Linked DNA regions of Ovis aries. The protein of the gene in region 1 purifies or fractionates together with the protein of each later gene. This does not show direct contact. Links are inferred from orthologs where the notes say so. Each region holds a gene or a part of one and is shown on either strand. Other genes may lie near its edges.

Evidence for each region.
Region 2: the proteins of SNRPD3 (region 1) and CDC5L purify together in Homo sapiens (affinity purification with mass spectrometry; 3 studies listed by BioGRID and IntAct, with this or other methods). This does not show direct contact. The link is inferred for Ovis aries from reciprocal best matches to the Homo sapiens genes SNRPD3 and CDC5L.
Region 3: the proteins of SNRPD3 (region 1) and PRMT5 purify together in Homo sapiens (affinity purification with mass spectrometry; 3 studies listed by BioGRID and IntAct, with this or other methods). This does not show direct contact. The link is inferred for Ovis aries from reciprocal best matches to the Homo sapiens genes SNRPD3 and PRMT5.

What each region holds. Positions count from the first base shown.
Region 1 is NC_056070.1:71,547,317-71,552,056, reverse strand, and holds the start of SNRPD3 (small nuclear ribonucleoprotein Sm D3), read left to right. Parts: upstream 1-1,689; 5' UTR 1,690-1,805; intron 1,806-3,666; 5' UTR 3,667-3,684; coding exon 3,685-3,810; intron 3,811-4,740. Other genes in the region: protein GUCD1, read right to left, coding at 1,345-1,549. UniProt on the Homo sapiens protein: Plays a role in pre-mRNA splicing as a core component of the spliceosomal U1, U2, U4 and U5 small nuclear ribonucleoproteins (snRNPs), the building blocks of the spliceosome.
Region 2 is NC_056073.1:17,846,965-17,850,953, forward strand, and holds the start of CDC5L (cell division cycle 5-like protein), read left to right. Parts: upstream 1-1,189; 5' UTR 1,190-1,303; coding exon 1,304-1,348; intron 1,349-3,670; coding exon 3,671-3,774; intron 3,775-3,989.
Region 3 is NC_056060.1:21,732,880-21,736,926, reverse strand, and holds the start of PRMT5 (protein arginine N-methyltransferase 5), read right to left. Parts: upstream 2,801-4,047; 5' UTR 2,787-2,800; coding exon 2,677-2,786; exon of another isoform or gene 2,650-2,676; coding exon of another isoform or gene 2,591-2,649; intron 2,025-2,590; coding exon 1,906-2,024; intron 1,608-1,905; coding exon 1,522-1,607; intron 1,367-1,521; coding exon 1,232-1,366; intron 880-1,231; coding exon 767-879; intron 435-766; coding exon 385-434; intron 177-384; coding exon 13-176; intron 1-12. UniProt on the Homo sapiens protein: Arginine methyltransferase that can both catalyze the formation of omega-N monomethylarginine (MMA) and symmetrical dimethylarginine (sDMA), with a preference for the formation of MMA.

The sequences.
Region 1 (4,740 bases):
CCCAAATCCTTGCTGCAGCCACAGTCGTGCCCCATGGATGCCTCAGGGCTGGGGTCTCCCCCGTGCGGGCACCTCACTGTAGAGTTCACCAGCCCTTTCTTGTCAACTGTATGTTGCAGAGGGGATGGGGAACCACTGCTCGCCCTCTCCCACTCAGAAAAGCACACGGAGGCTGGCCGCTGATTTATCAGTGTGTGCCCCCTTCCCCACCCCCCAGCAAAGGAACTCAGGCGCTGGGGAAGGCGGGACTAGAGAAGGAAGACTCCGTAGCAAGACAACAGGCAGGAGTCTGGGAGGCCAGGGGCAGGCTGTCCCTCCCTGCCCTGCCAGTTGCCTGCCCCGTCTAAGGCCTCAGTTACCGGAGAGGGGACAGGCTCTCCCCAAAGCAGCTCCAAAGAGGACTTTTCGCTCCAGGGAAAGGTGACCCCTCCCCCCGCCCCGGCCGCTCAACCAGGACCCTCCTTCCCTCCATGACCGCAAGCGAGAGATGCCCAGGGGTGTCCCTGCTCAGGGAGTTATCAGGAAAAACAAACAAACCCCAACTGACCGTAGCCGGCCCGGCGGGACCCGCCGGAGCGCACACCTGCCCAGGTTTTGCTCAGAGCTCAACAGCCGGGGCCGCGGCGGCGGTCGGCCCAAGGTCGCGCGGCCGGACCCTGCCCGGCGCTCGGGCGGGGTTCCCCCCCAAACTCGATTCCCAGGCTGAGGGCTGCCCCCCAACCCTGATCCCGGATCCCCGATCCCCAGGGCCCTGCCCCGCGCCCACCGCGATCCCCGGGGTCAGGGCCGCCCCCCGATCCCCGGGGCCCTGCCCCGCGCCCACCGCGATCCCCGGGGTCAGGGCCGCCCCCCGATCCCCAGGGCCCTGCCCCGCGCCCACCGCGATCCCCGGGGTCAGGGCCGCCCCCCGATCCCCGGGGCCCTGCCCGGCGCCCACCGCGATCCCCGGGGTCAGGGCCGCCCCCCGATCCCCGGGGCCCTGCCCCGCGCCCACCGCGATCCCCGGGGTGACGGGGGGACCACACTGACCGGGCTCGAGCGGCGGCCCCGCTGCCTGCGCGTCCACCTCCGTCCTCATGACCCGGGCGGCGCGGGGCTCCCATGGCCCCGGCCCGGCGCGGGCTGCAGCTCTGGCGTCGACTGGGGACGGGAGCGCGCGGCCGGCGCGCGCCGGCTCCCCGGGCGGCCAGCACCAGCGCCCCGGGGGGAGCGGGGGCGGGAGGCGGCGGCGGCCCCAGGCCCCGCCCCGGCCCGCCCCGGCCCGCCCCGGCTCCCACGCCGGCGGCCCCCCGGCCCGCTGCTCCGGGTCCCCGCTCTCCCTGTCCGCACGCCGGGGGCACTCGCCTCGCTCGGGGCACCCCTTCCCCGGCGCCGTCGGCTTCCCAGGCTTCCCCTGCGGGGGCAGGTCCCGGCCCCGGGCCCCCGCCGCCGCCGCCGCCCGCCTCGCTGTCCAGCCCGCGTCTGGCGTCGGGCGCTGGGGACCGCGAGTCCCCCTCGGCCCGGGCCGGCCCGAGGGTCGCTGTTTCCGGCGGCACCTGGGTCCGGTCATCAGCCCCGCTCTTCCCCGGGCCCGGAACTATTGTACCCGAGCTCGGGTTCCCCAGCCGGCGCGGTAAGGATGAACGCGAAGGCGAGAGACGTCGCCCGCCGCCACTCGGGTAAAGGAAGGGGGCGGGCCCTGCGCGAGGCATTTTGGGAACGCGTGGTATTCTGGGAGCGCGCGGCCCGCCATTCGCGCCCTCACGCCTTCGCAGTCGCCGGAGTTCCGTCTGCCCTGCCGCCTCTGAAAGAGGAGCCCGGAGCCGGTGAGGACGGGGCCGGGGGTGCGGGGAGGGCGAGGGCTAGGCCGAGGTCCCGCGGGGGGCCGGGGGGCTGGAGGAGGACGCGCCGCCGAGGAGCCCTGCGGTGCTCGTGGAGGGAGAGCCGCGGGGAGCTGGGCCACCCCGACCCCCAGCGGCGCCTCCCAAGCGCCTGGAGGTGCGTTCGTTAGCTTTTTCCCCGAAGTACTTGCTCTTCGGTTTCCGAACCTCTCCAGGCCGGTGTTTCTCGAAGTATCCAGGCAGTGGTCTTGAGATCGTTCCTGGCTGGTGGCCACCTTCCCCCCAGATCCCTACTTGGCTGATTTCTTTTCAAAGCCCTTGGCATCTCTGCCTCCCTCCCCCTTCCAGGACCTGATCCCCTAACGCTGGAAACACAGGTTATCACATTTCCTTGCTTCTGTCTAAATCGTGTTGCAGCGTCTTGTAACTCCGGCTGCCCTTCCGTGGGGTAGTCTCTGTGCTGCCCCGGTTCCCCCAGCTGCGGTTCAGCGTTGTCCTCAGCAATGGAACCTGTTTTTTCCTAACCTCTCCCGGTCCTTTTCCTCTCTTTCGACCTCCTGCTGCGTGTCAACCGAAAAAATACCGCCACCTAAAAGCTGAGAATTAGGTTTATTCGGTGGGAATCATGAGGACTCCGAGCCCGGAAGACAGGATTTCAGGCGACCCCTGGGAGAGAGAAATGTTGGGTGGGGTGGAGTCAGGCTACAAAGAAGTTTGCAGCAAGGGGCAGGTAATCTGAATATTAAAAGATGACTGTTGAGTAATGGAGACCAGATCTCCGGCCTGAAGAGATTTAATACTTTTCTGTTCTTTGGGAAGATGCAAGAGTCCGGGCTTCCTGAAATCTTTTCTTTCACATGCATCTCAGCTATCTGGGGCCAATTCCTGCTTTTCGGCTGTTCACAGCCTAATTCCTCCTTTACCCTAAAGTTAAGGTACGAGGGACCGCCTCTTGTGCTTCTGACATCCCCCAGCTCCTCAGCACTTACAGGAAGTAACGGACAGCTGCCAAAAAGCCAGTATGGTTTTTACCTGGGCTTAAAAATTTGCATTTGGAAGGCTGGAATACCAGATGGCTGCGACGTGCCTTGATTACTGGAGAGCAGAAAGCATTTCATTTTACAGAAGTTTTCGTTTTATACACCCGTCTTGGGATTGAAAAAATCCACTTGCTTTTTTTCTCTCTTAATTAGATCAAGTCGGGGTTCTCCCTGGTTATATTTTCCCTCCAGGGTGAGCGTTTCCCACTTGTAGCACGCCGCCACCTTGTGAACACTTGGATATTTTCTCTTTAGCTTAATGGTGAAGTAAGTAGACGGTCAGAGTGCTTAATGGGTTGAATTAAACGCACAGCCCCGTCTGAGCTTCCCAGATGGCGCTAGTGGTTAAAAAGACCTCTTGCCAGTGCAGGAGATGTAAGAGACGTGGGCTCCATCCCTGGGTGGGGAAGATCCCCTGGAAAAGGGCGTGGCAGCCCACTCCAGTATTGTTGCCTGGAGAATCCCACGGACAGAGGAACCTGGTGGGCTACAGTCCATGGGGTCGCAGAGAGTCAGAAAAGCGACTTAACATGCGCACTCAAGAGCCCTGTGGTGGAAGGAAGATGGGAGGCAGCTCTTTCCCGTCAGCTTTCCCCCTGTTGAGGCCCTGTTCCTCCCCACTCACACCCTGCACGTGTTTGCCAGATGGGTCCTTCAAGCTCAGAATTCAGCTAAAAAAAAAACTAGTGCACCTCTGGCAACTTTGCTGAGTTTTCCAGAGTGTCAGCCTTGAGGGGTTGTGGTGTTTGCACATGCGTTCTTGGGCGTCGGAAGATGAGCTAACTGCTGTCTCTCTCTCACCGCAGAACTCTCTTCCTGCCGGGATGTCTATCGGAGTGCCGATCAAAGTCCTCCACGAGGCCGAGGGCCACATCGTGACGTGTGAGACGAACACTGGCGAGGTGTATCGGGGCAAGCTCATCGAGGCGGAGGACAACATGAACTGCCAGGTGCCCTGCTCTGTGCGGGGCCGGGGCGGGCCGGAGCCTCGGAGGGCAGGGCGCGGGCGGCTGGGGCTCCTTGAGGTTCTTGCTCAGCGGTGGTTCACCGAGTGCCTAAGCTGTGCCAGGCCCTATTAGAGGTGCCAGAGAGGCGGGCATCAGTGAGAGCCTCTTGGAGGTTGAGAATATGAAACCTAGAATCTGACTGTTTAGATTGCTCGTCCTTCGCTGCTCCCAGTCCCGTGGTTGTCTTCTCACGGACTTTGGGCCCATTTAAGAGAAGCAGCACAGCCTTCCGGAGGAGGCAGTGGCACCCCACTCCAGCGCTCTTGCCTGGAAAATCCTGTGGACGGGGAGCCTGGCGGGCTGCGGTCTGTGGGGTCGCACAGAGTCGGACACGACTGAAGCGACTCAGCAGCAGCAGCGCAGCCTTCAGCGGAGCCGTCAGGCTCAGCGCCCCCGCCCCGCACAGCGCGTTTGCACAGTGCTTTGCAGCTAGCAGAGTCTTCGCTCGCATACTCTGGGTATTTGCCATTTTCCTAGCAGAAGCACCTCGTGTGACTGCACTCGGAGCAAATACTTGGCCAAGCAAGCAGGTTTGGGTGATAGTTTTATCCATGAAATGGGAAGAATGAGATTACGGGACTCACCTGCTGAATATCGCTCTGCCAAGACGTGTTGGACCCACTGCTTGGTGCGCTTCCCTTCCCACGGCGCGTGAATTCGCATGGCATCGCTTTACAGTGTGGGTCGCAGTTTCTGTTTAGGAGCTTGGGCTTTGGAATTGGATGTGGGTTTGAATTTCAGCTGGCTTTGGAATGTTAATTACCTGTTTGTTCATCTGTAAAAGGCGGATAGAGTTAACTCGGCAAGAGATTGACTGGGGGAGCTGACTGCTGCAGAGGGTCAAGGGGCAGGGGCAGGGGCAGGAGAGCTTTT
Region 2 (3,989 bases), on another chromosome or scaffold:
GCACCTATCAACAGTAGCTCTCTGCTATTAATATTAAGCCATGTAGACTGAAGTGCAATAAATGGAAAACTCTGACATGACTGTTTCTGGGACAATCTCTGATCACTTGAGCTTGCGCTTCTCGTAGTAACAGTTGCCATTTTTGTGAGCACTTCTTAGGTATCAGATACTACGATGGATTTACGATCTCATTTAACCCTTGTTAGTTGCTCAGTCCGGAGAAGGCAATGGTACCCCACTCCAGTACTCTTGCCTGGAAAATCCCATGGATGGAGGAGCGTGGTGGGCTGCAGTCCATGGGGTCGCTAAGAGTCGTACACCACTGAGCGACTTCATTTTCACTTTTCACCTTCATGCACTGGAGAAGGAAATGGCAACTCACTCCAGTATTCTTGCCTGGAGAATCCCAGTGACGGGGGAGCCTGGCGGGCTGCCGTCTATGGGGTCGCACAGAGTCGGACACGACTGAAGCGACTTAGCAGTAGCAGCAGCAATTGCTCAGTCGTCTGCCACTCTGAGACCCCATGGACTATACCCCGCCAGGCTCCTCTGTCTACGGAATTCTCCAGGCAAGAATACTGGAGTGGGTGGCCATTTCCTTCTCCAGAGGATCTTTTCCATTCAGAGATCGAAGCCGGGTTTCCCGAATTGCAGGCAGATTCTTTTACCACCTGAGCCTCCAGGGAAACCCCTATTCAATCCTTAGGAAAACCCTATGAAGTTGGCACTATTATTGTCTCTATTTTGCAGGTTAGGAAATTTAGGCTTAAATAAGCTATTGCCTCTCCCTGAATATTTTTTGAATAAATTCTTGTTCGTTAAATGCTTAATAAAGTGCTAAGTTAATAAATTATCAACGCTATTTTTAGACCAGCCGAGGTTAAACCCTACAGGAGTGACGTTCCTATTCTTTGCCACAACGTGACGTCACGACCAATCCCAGGACTACATTCCCAGCCAAGAGCCTCCGCCGACATCTCGCGAAAGCCGCGGTTTCTTCCAACCTATTTTGGGCATGCGCGCGGCTTCGAGTACCTTGGCTAGAGTGGTTTGATGATTTTCCGTCAGTCTCCCTAGAGTAGAGTTTTACCATCGAGGCACTTATTTCCTTCCAGTCACTCCAGTTCTCGCGAGACTTGCTACTCCTGCTCTTTCCCCACCCCGCCCCCGCGCTTGCGCAGAGCTCTTCAAAGCAGAAGGTCGCGCTTGGAGGAAGTGGCGGCTTTGGGTCCCGTGGCCGCCGCGCCGTTACTACTTCTCGGAAGCTCCGCTCGGCCGCTTGCCGAGACACCCCGCCGCCAAGATGCCTCGAATTATGATTAAGGGGGGCGTGTGGAGGAATACCGAGGTAAGTCCCCTTTTCCCGCCGTCTGCCCTCCGCCCCTCCGGCTGCGGGTGCGCACGCGCGCAGAGGTCCGGGAGGTGGAGAGGATGCCTTCGGGGTCTGCGTGGGGGGTGGTGCGGGGCCTTTACCCTGTGCCTGGACCTCAGTTATCTGAGCATCTCAAGGACAGGGACCGTGATTTAACCGCTTGATTACCTGCGGGGCACTCGTTAGGCCCTCAGTGAACATTTGTTGAGCTGACGCGTCCTCCGCCGTGGTGGAACTCACAGTAGGAGGGGGACACAGGACAATTGCGATAGTCGGTCTTCTAAGCCCCGCCCCCCGCACCCCACCGTTCCTCATCCCAGGCTCCGCGACTCTTTGCTGTTGAAAAATGAAGAGGTGCTGTGGCCACAACTTTGTTCTTTCCTTGAGTTCCTTGCTGAGGGGAAGCAGTTTGAGTGCCAGGTCCTAAGTACCTGGTTGTGTCCGCGTCCCCGCGGTCATGTTACCACGGCGTAACTTGTCCGCCCTCCGGTCACCCAAGGCCTGTCTCTTCCGCTTCATGTTGGGTAGAAGCCAGATAGGCCTACCATAGTCTCTTTGCTTCCAGAAATGTAGTGGATCGTGCCATTGGTGAACCAAAGAACAGTAGAAGAGTAAAATAGAAACAAGGTTTTAGTGCAGTTTCTGTTTATAGTGCCCTGAACTTGTCAGTTTCCCCAGAACACTCTGTCTTTTTACATCTTGCACCTTCTTGAAATATCCTCCTACTGCTTGGCATCTTTCTGACCTTCCTTCAAAAACAGTTCAGAAACTCTTCTGAAATTGGTCCAGAAGACCCATCCATTTGCCTGGTCATCCGGTAAAAAGTATTTGCACCTGCAATGGTCCCTGGACACCTCTTCTCATCCATTTGTTATGGTTTGCTTTTTTTTTTTTTTTGCAAGCATCACATCCTGTTTGATGCTGGGATTATTAACCTCTCAGAGACTCAGGTTTCTAATGGGGATGATAATAATATACTTATCTCTCGGAATTAAATGAGTCACTGCATTTGGAATATTTAGAACAGAGTCTGGCACATAGTAATCTTTCAGAAAGTACTACCTGCTGTTTCTTTTCCCCAGTAGACAGCACTGCAAGTGCGCAGGATCAGATCTTGCTATCTTTAGAACTCCGGACAGTGCCAAACAAAGTTTGCTTGGGAAATTTTGCTGAATGGATCTAGTAGGGTGTATAACTGTAGTATATACTTAGTTGAAGATGTGATTAAGTATAGCAGTACTGCAACAAAGTTACAAATTAAGTCAGTGAGAACCTTGCCTCTCAGCTTGCACAGAGGGGACCAGGCTGTTTCAGTTGGAGAAGAGATGACTTCTGAGGGAGAGACAGATGTACCAAATCAAGTAACAGCAGGATTCTGATGCTGTGGCCAAAGCCCTGCAGTCCTTGAGTCTCAGATGTTAGGGGTGTGGAGTGGCGAGGAGTGGCTAACATATGAGGCATATAGCTCAAGTTCATTGTGGGGAAAAAACCCTAAAAGTAAAATGCCCTGAGTGCATTCATCTATGGCTCTGATATCCCTGGTGTCTTTGGTTTAGCCTGACAGGCTCCCTTGGGATTGGTGAATTCTTTATTGGAATGGGTGCCCTGGTGAAATAGTATCTAGAGACTGGGGGGAAATTAGAGGCAGAGTTGATTGGTGACTTAGGGGAGACGTACTCAATTCTTAGGTTAGACCTGAGATATGGATTCTTAGGTGAGAGTGGGGGCTGTGGGACTGGAGAGAAAATGCTGTTCATAAACTGGGAAGCCTCAATTGGAAATTGGATTCACTTGAGTCTTGACTTTTTGAGGGCTGGATGTGTCCTGTTTTATCTTGTTTTCTCAAGTATTGATATACAAGACCTGATACAAGGCTGGTGTTTGGGCAGTATTTTTTGTGAATCAGTAAATCAATGAGCCATAATCTTTTTAAGAGACTAACAACCACACATTGGAGAATTCTTTTTAAAATCTCTGTCAAGTGGGGTTTCTCACATTGGGCTGTACCCACTCAATTTTTGGATGGGATTGGGGGAGGGGTTGTGTGTAAGGGAGGGTAGGATATCCTTCTAAGGGAGTTCTTAATTTCTTTCATTTTGTTGATTCTGGGTTGCTGTTTTTTTTTAAATTTTTATTATTGTAATGAAGTTTTATACTTTTGTTTTAAATTTAGGATATACGTGCGTGTTTATATCTCTTTCTCCCTAGTACAACCCAGTTAGAGTTAATTTAAATCTTGTCTTTTCTCACTTGGAGTTTTGTGAATGAATACATTGTTTTTCCTTTGAAAAAATTTAGGATGAAATTCTGAAAGCAGCGGTGATGAAATATGGGAAAAACCAGTGGTCTAGGATTGCCTCACTGCTGCATAGAAAGTCAGCAAAGCAGTGCAAAGCCAGATGGTATGTATCAGCTAATGAGTGGAAAACACAAAATGACCTTCATTATGATGAGGAAAATGTCATTTCTTTGAACCTTACCAAAGAAAAGCAGGCACTGTGATGTAACAGAAAGTAGGGAGTGGGAGTTGGGAATTTCAGTGTGAGAATTAGCTGTCTTTTGCTTCGTAAGTGGTCTTAGGCAAGCCATTTTCTGTCCCCTCTCTCCTGCCATTGTT
Region 3 (4,047 bases), on another chromosome or scaffold:
TCCACTACACACCTTGAGAAGTCGGAAGATCAGCCTCTGGTGCATCTTAGAAAGAACAGGGAATCCCTTCTTATTGGTCAGGAAAATGCTGGTGGGGAGAATGGCTGCTTTGATGGGCTCCCCAAGCCAACGATCAATGACATGGTTAGATGGGAGGTCAGCACCAATTTCAAGAGCTACAAAAGGGAAAACAAAGACCTGTCAATCATACAGGCCAGAATCTTTGCATGCTCTTTTGTGCAAGATCTGTCTCCTCCTTAAGAGCAAGGCAGACTAAAGCATGGAGAAAGTATGCCCCAGCAGCCAAGTATACATGAGACTCCTGATTTTTAGTCACAGGATTTCAGAGAAGGATAACCTATCCCAGGATCTTTGTGGACTCACCCACTGCAATCCTCTTGCTGTAATCACACAAGGTCCGGAAGTTGTGCCACCTGTGCAGAGTTAAAACACAGAAGTTAGTTGCTCAGTCATGTCCAACTCTTGTGACTCCATGGACTGCAGCCCTCCAGGCTCCTCTGTCCATGGAATTTTCCAGGCAAGAATACTAGAGTGGGTTGCCAGTTCCTTCTCCAGAGGGTCTTCCTGACCTAGGGATTGAACCCAGGTCTCCAGCATTGCAGGCGGACCATTTACTGTCTGAGCCACCAGGGAAGCTCCATCAAATACATACGGCCCACTAATCACCACACCTCAGGGAGACCTTCCTACAGGTTCCACTCTGTACTTCCCTCCACCCCAGGTACAGTGGCAAAAGGAAACATACCACATCCATGTCTTCTCCTCTCCACTGTACTCCTCTGTGTGAGAAGTTGGTGCGTTCTCAATTATATCATCTCTCAGGTCCTCTGGTGCCACCAATGGCACCCGCATCCAGAACTGCACATGAACAATAAATAGGTTCCACACCCTATTTAGAACTGTTTTGAACCCATTGGGTCCAGAAAGCTTCCTTCAATTAAAAAGATCTTGATCCAGATTTCAAGCTAATCCCCTTATATCCTATTCCCAATTTGTGATTATATGTTGTCTTTTATCTCTAGAAGTTGTGGGAAATAACTGATATTCTATACGTTTTATAATACTTTGCTCACCACTCTTAGTGTGGGTAGGCAGTACTGACATTTCAGTTCTCCCAAATGCACCCTTCACTGAATGGCTAGGAACAAGAAGATACTTAGCACAGCCTGACTATCATAATATGCAGCAGGGAAGGAAGCCCTTGCCATACCATGGAGGAGTGGTGGCCAGTGTGGATGTGATTGGTCAAAACTCTCGCCAAGTTTGTGTTATCTTCCTGATTTAGGGGCAGCAGAAAAGCTGGAAGACCCAAATATGCCCCAAAATTCAGCTCCTGTAACATAGCCTGGAATAGAGATTAAAAGGATAAAGTTAAGAGCTAGCAACTCAAATAGCTTTAATTGCATTATATCAAATTTACTAAGTTACAGAGTGGGGAAAAAGTGCTCTCCCCACCCAACTTGTTTACTGATATTTAGTCAGTGAAGAGGTCAGTCTTACCGCCTCAGAGTTCCTGCGTATCTTCTCCACTTTTGAGTCTGGACGAATCCATGGAGAAAGCTTTCCCACAATTAGTGTATTCCAGTCTGCACTCCCCCACCCAAGAAAGACAAAGACTAAATAAGGTTCAGCACTTTACTCATTCAATTTCTAGTTCTTAACAGGGAATAGAGTTACAGATGAGACAAAGACTTTTTCTATCACAGATACAGGAGAGCCTGACAGAATAGGGAACTAAGGCTTTTAGTAGGTAGGTAAGGAGTTATCTATATCCGTGGGGCGAACCAATATATCCAAGTGAAGAAAGGAAGAGGAGGAAGGCACTGATAAAGCATAAGTTGTTACTGCCTCTAATAATTAAGGGGCATGTGGGATGCTCCCTACCCCTTCCTGACAGCAGTAGGTCTGATCGTGTCTGGGGGCCCGGCCGACTCTTAGCAGGTTCCTGAGTGAATTCCCTCTTGAAACGCGGGTGGAACACAGGCATGCAGAGGAAATCAAACCTACAACCGCGACAGACCCAGAATCGTCATGTAAAGACAGCAGCAGTGCCCAGAGATCCAAGTAATTGGACTGGCTCTCTTGATTCTGCACAACCCTTTCAGCTGCCACCAGCGACCCGACTAGACTGCTGAATTCAGCCAACCTTGGGGCATATCACTTCCGCTGCACTGTGCCTCAATTTCTCGCCAGGACACAGCCATGGAAAAGATGAGTTAAGAGAAAAGATGAATATCCACACCACGTGGACTTTCTACTCTGCTGTCACTGGTTTTCCGAGACTGTCACATCCAGATCGGCAGCAGTACTGCCTAAGTATCCCCCCTCATGGTTTAACTCTCCTCTCCCTAACCTCCTAACTATTTCTCCCAATCTCACACGGGGCCCTGGAGGTCTCTACGCCCCCTTTTTGAATTTACTTGATAACTCCTCCGACTTTGGGGTTCAGTGACCACACGCCCCCAATAAGTTTCCCGCCCTCCTCTCAAGCTCCAGGGCCCGAGGCTTCTCCCCCCGAAGGACTAAATGGTTTCTCCCGCCCTGGTCTCATCCACTTCGACCCCCTCACCCCTGCCTCTCGGGGATGACTGGTCTGTCCCTCTCGGTCCCCGAGTTCGGACCCCGCATTCAGCTCGCGGAGGTCCAGGCCCTCACCCCTGCTTGGCCACAGCCCCCAGTGTGTCAGCTATTTCGGGGACGCAATTCAGGTCCCTCCCGCTGGACACGCGGCTTCCACCGGCACCACCGACCGCCATCGCCGCCATCTTTTCCCTCGCGCAATCCACGCCGAGATTCCCTGAAGCTAGCAGCCAATCACAAAGCCGGAAAAAAGCCCCCAGAAGGCGGGACGTTTCACCTTAACAACCAGAGCGTCTCCCACGGCTCTAGAGCTGGAGGAGGAAGGGTGGGGAGTGGCTCTTCTCGCCAATCCGCGGGCTTCACAGTGACGTACGGCGAGGCTTCGGAACAGTCACCAATCTCAGGGTCTGATTCTCGACGAACTTAATCTCCCATAATGCTTCGTGTACTCGTAGAACTCCGTGCAGAGACTACACGTCCCATGAAGCCCTGCAGTATAAGCTTGAAGTGTCATCATTGGGGCCAGCGAAGTCGTCTCGGGGCCAGTGGCGCAATGGATAACGCGTCTGACTACGGATCAGAAGATTCCAGGTTCGACTCCTGGCTGGCTCGGGGAGACGCGTGTGTTTTTGTTGCATCCCATGCAATACTGTCATAAGCAGTATTTTGAAAGTATCCCGTTCTTCCCTTTCTAAATTTCCTTATGATCTCCTCTTACCCTCATTTTTAGCTCATAATTTTATTGCGTTCTGCAGCCATTTTATGTCAGCGTTTTCCATTGCCTAATTCAAAGATGGTTCTTGTGTCTCTATTTAGGTCCTTCAAAATCCTGAGAAAATTGAGGTAATGACTAAATTGGGCTTTGTATGGGCCTTAGTATATTTTTTAATAGATTGTGGCAATTTAGCCACCAACTCCTTTCTATTCTATATCTCAAACAAACAAAAAGTAAATAAACATCTAAACACACACTGAAGATAGGAAGGAAAAGAAAAAAAAACTCATGGTGAGGAATTACAGTGGAGAGGAGTTATGAACAGCCTGGCGGAGACCTGAGAGAATCTCAACATTTTCCTTTCTAGAGAATTTCTACATTTTCTTTGTGAACACCTGCTACAGGGATGGAAAAGAACGAAGCAAAGAAAGATATAGGGAGGAGAAAGAGAACCTGAAGACCCAGAGGTGTTGAGGGCCTGGCAGCGAGGATGGATAGAGAACACAATACGGAAGGCCCGAGGCAGGAGGTCACAGAACTTAGTGACCAACGGACAGGAAGCCTGATAAGGGAAGTCTGCGGCTGAAGCCCAAGATTTTGGCCTCTTTGAGTGCTACAGGAAATGAGAAGCTCTTTTAGGGAGAATCAGGGTTTGGGTTTGGAAATGCTGAATTGGACGTCTAGGGGGCGCTGTGTAATAGAGAGTTGGAGGAATAGTGATCAGAGCCAGA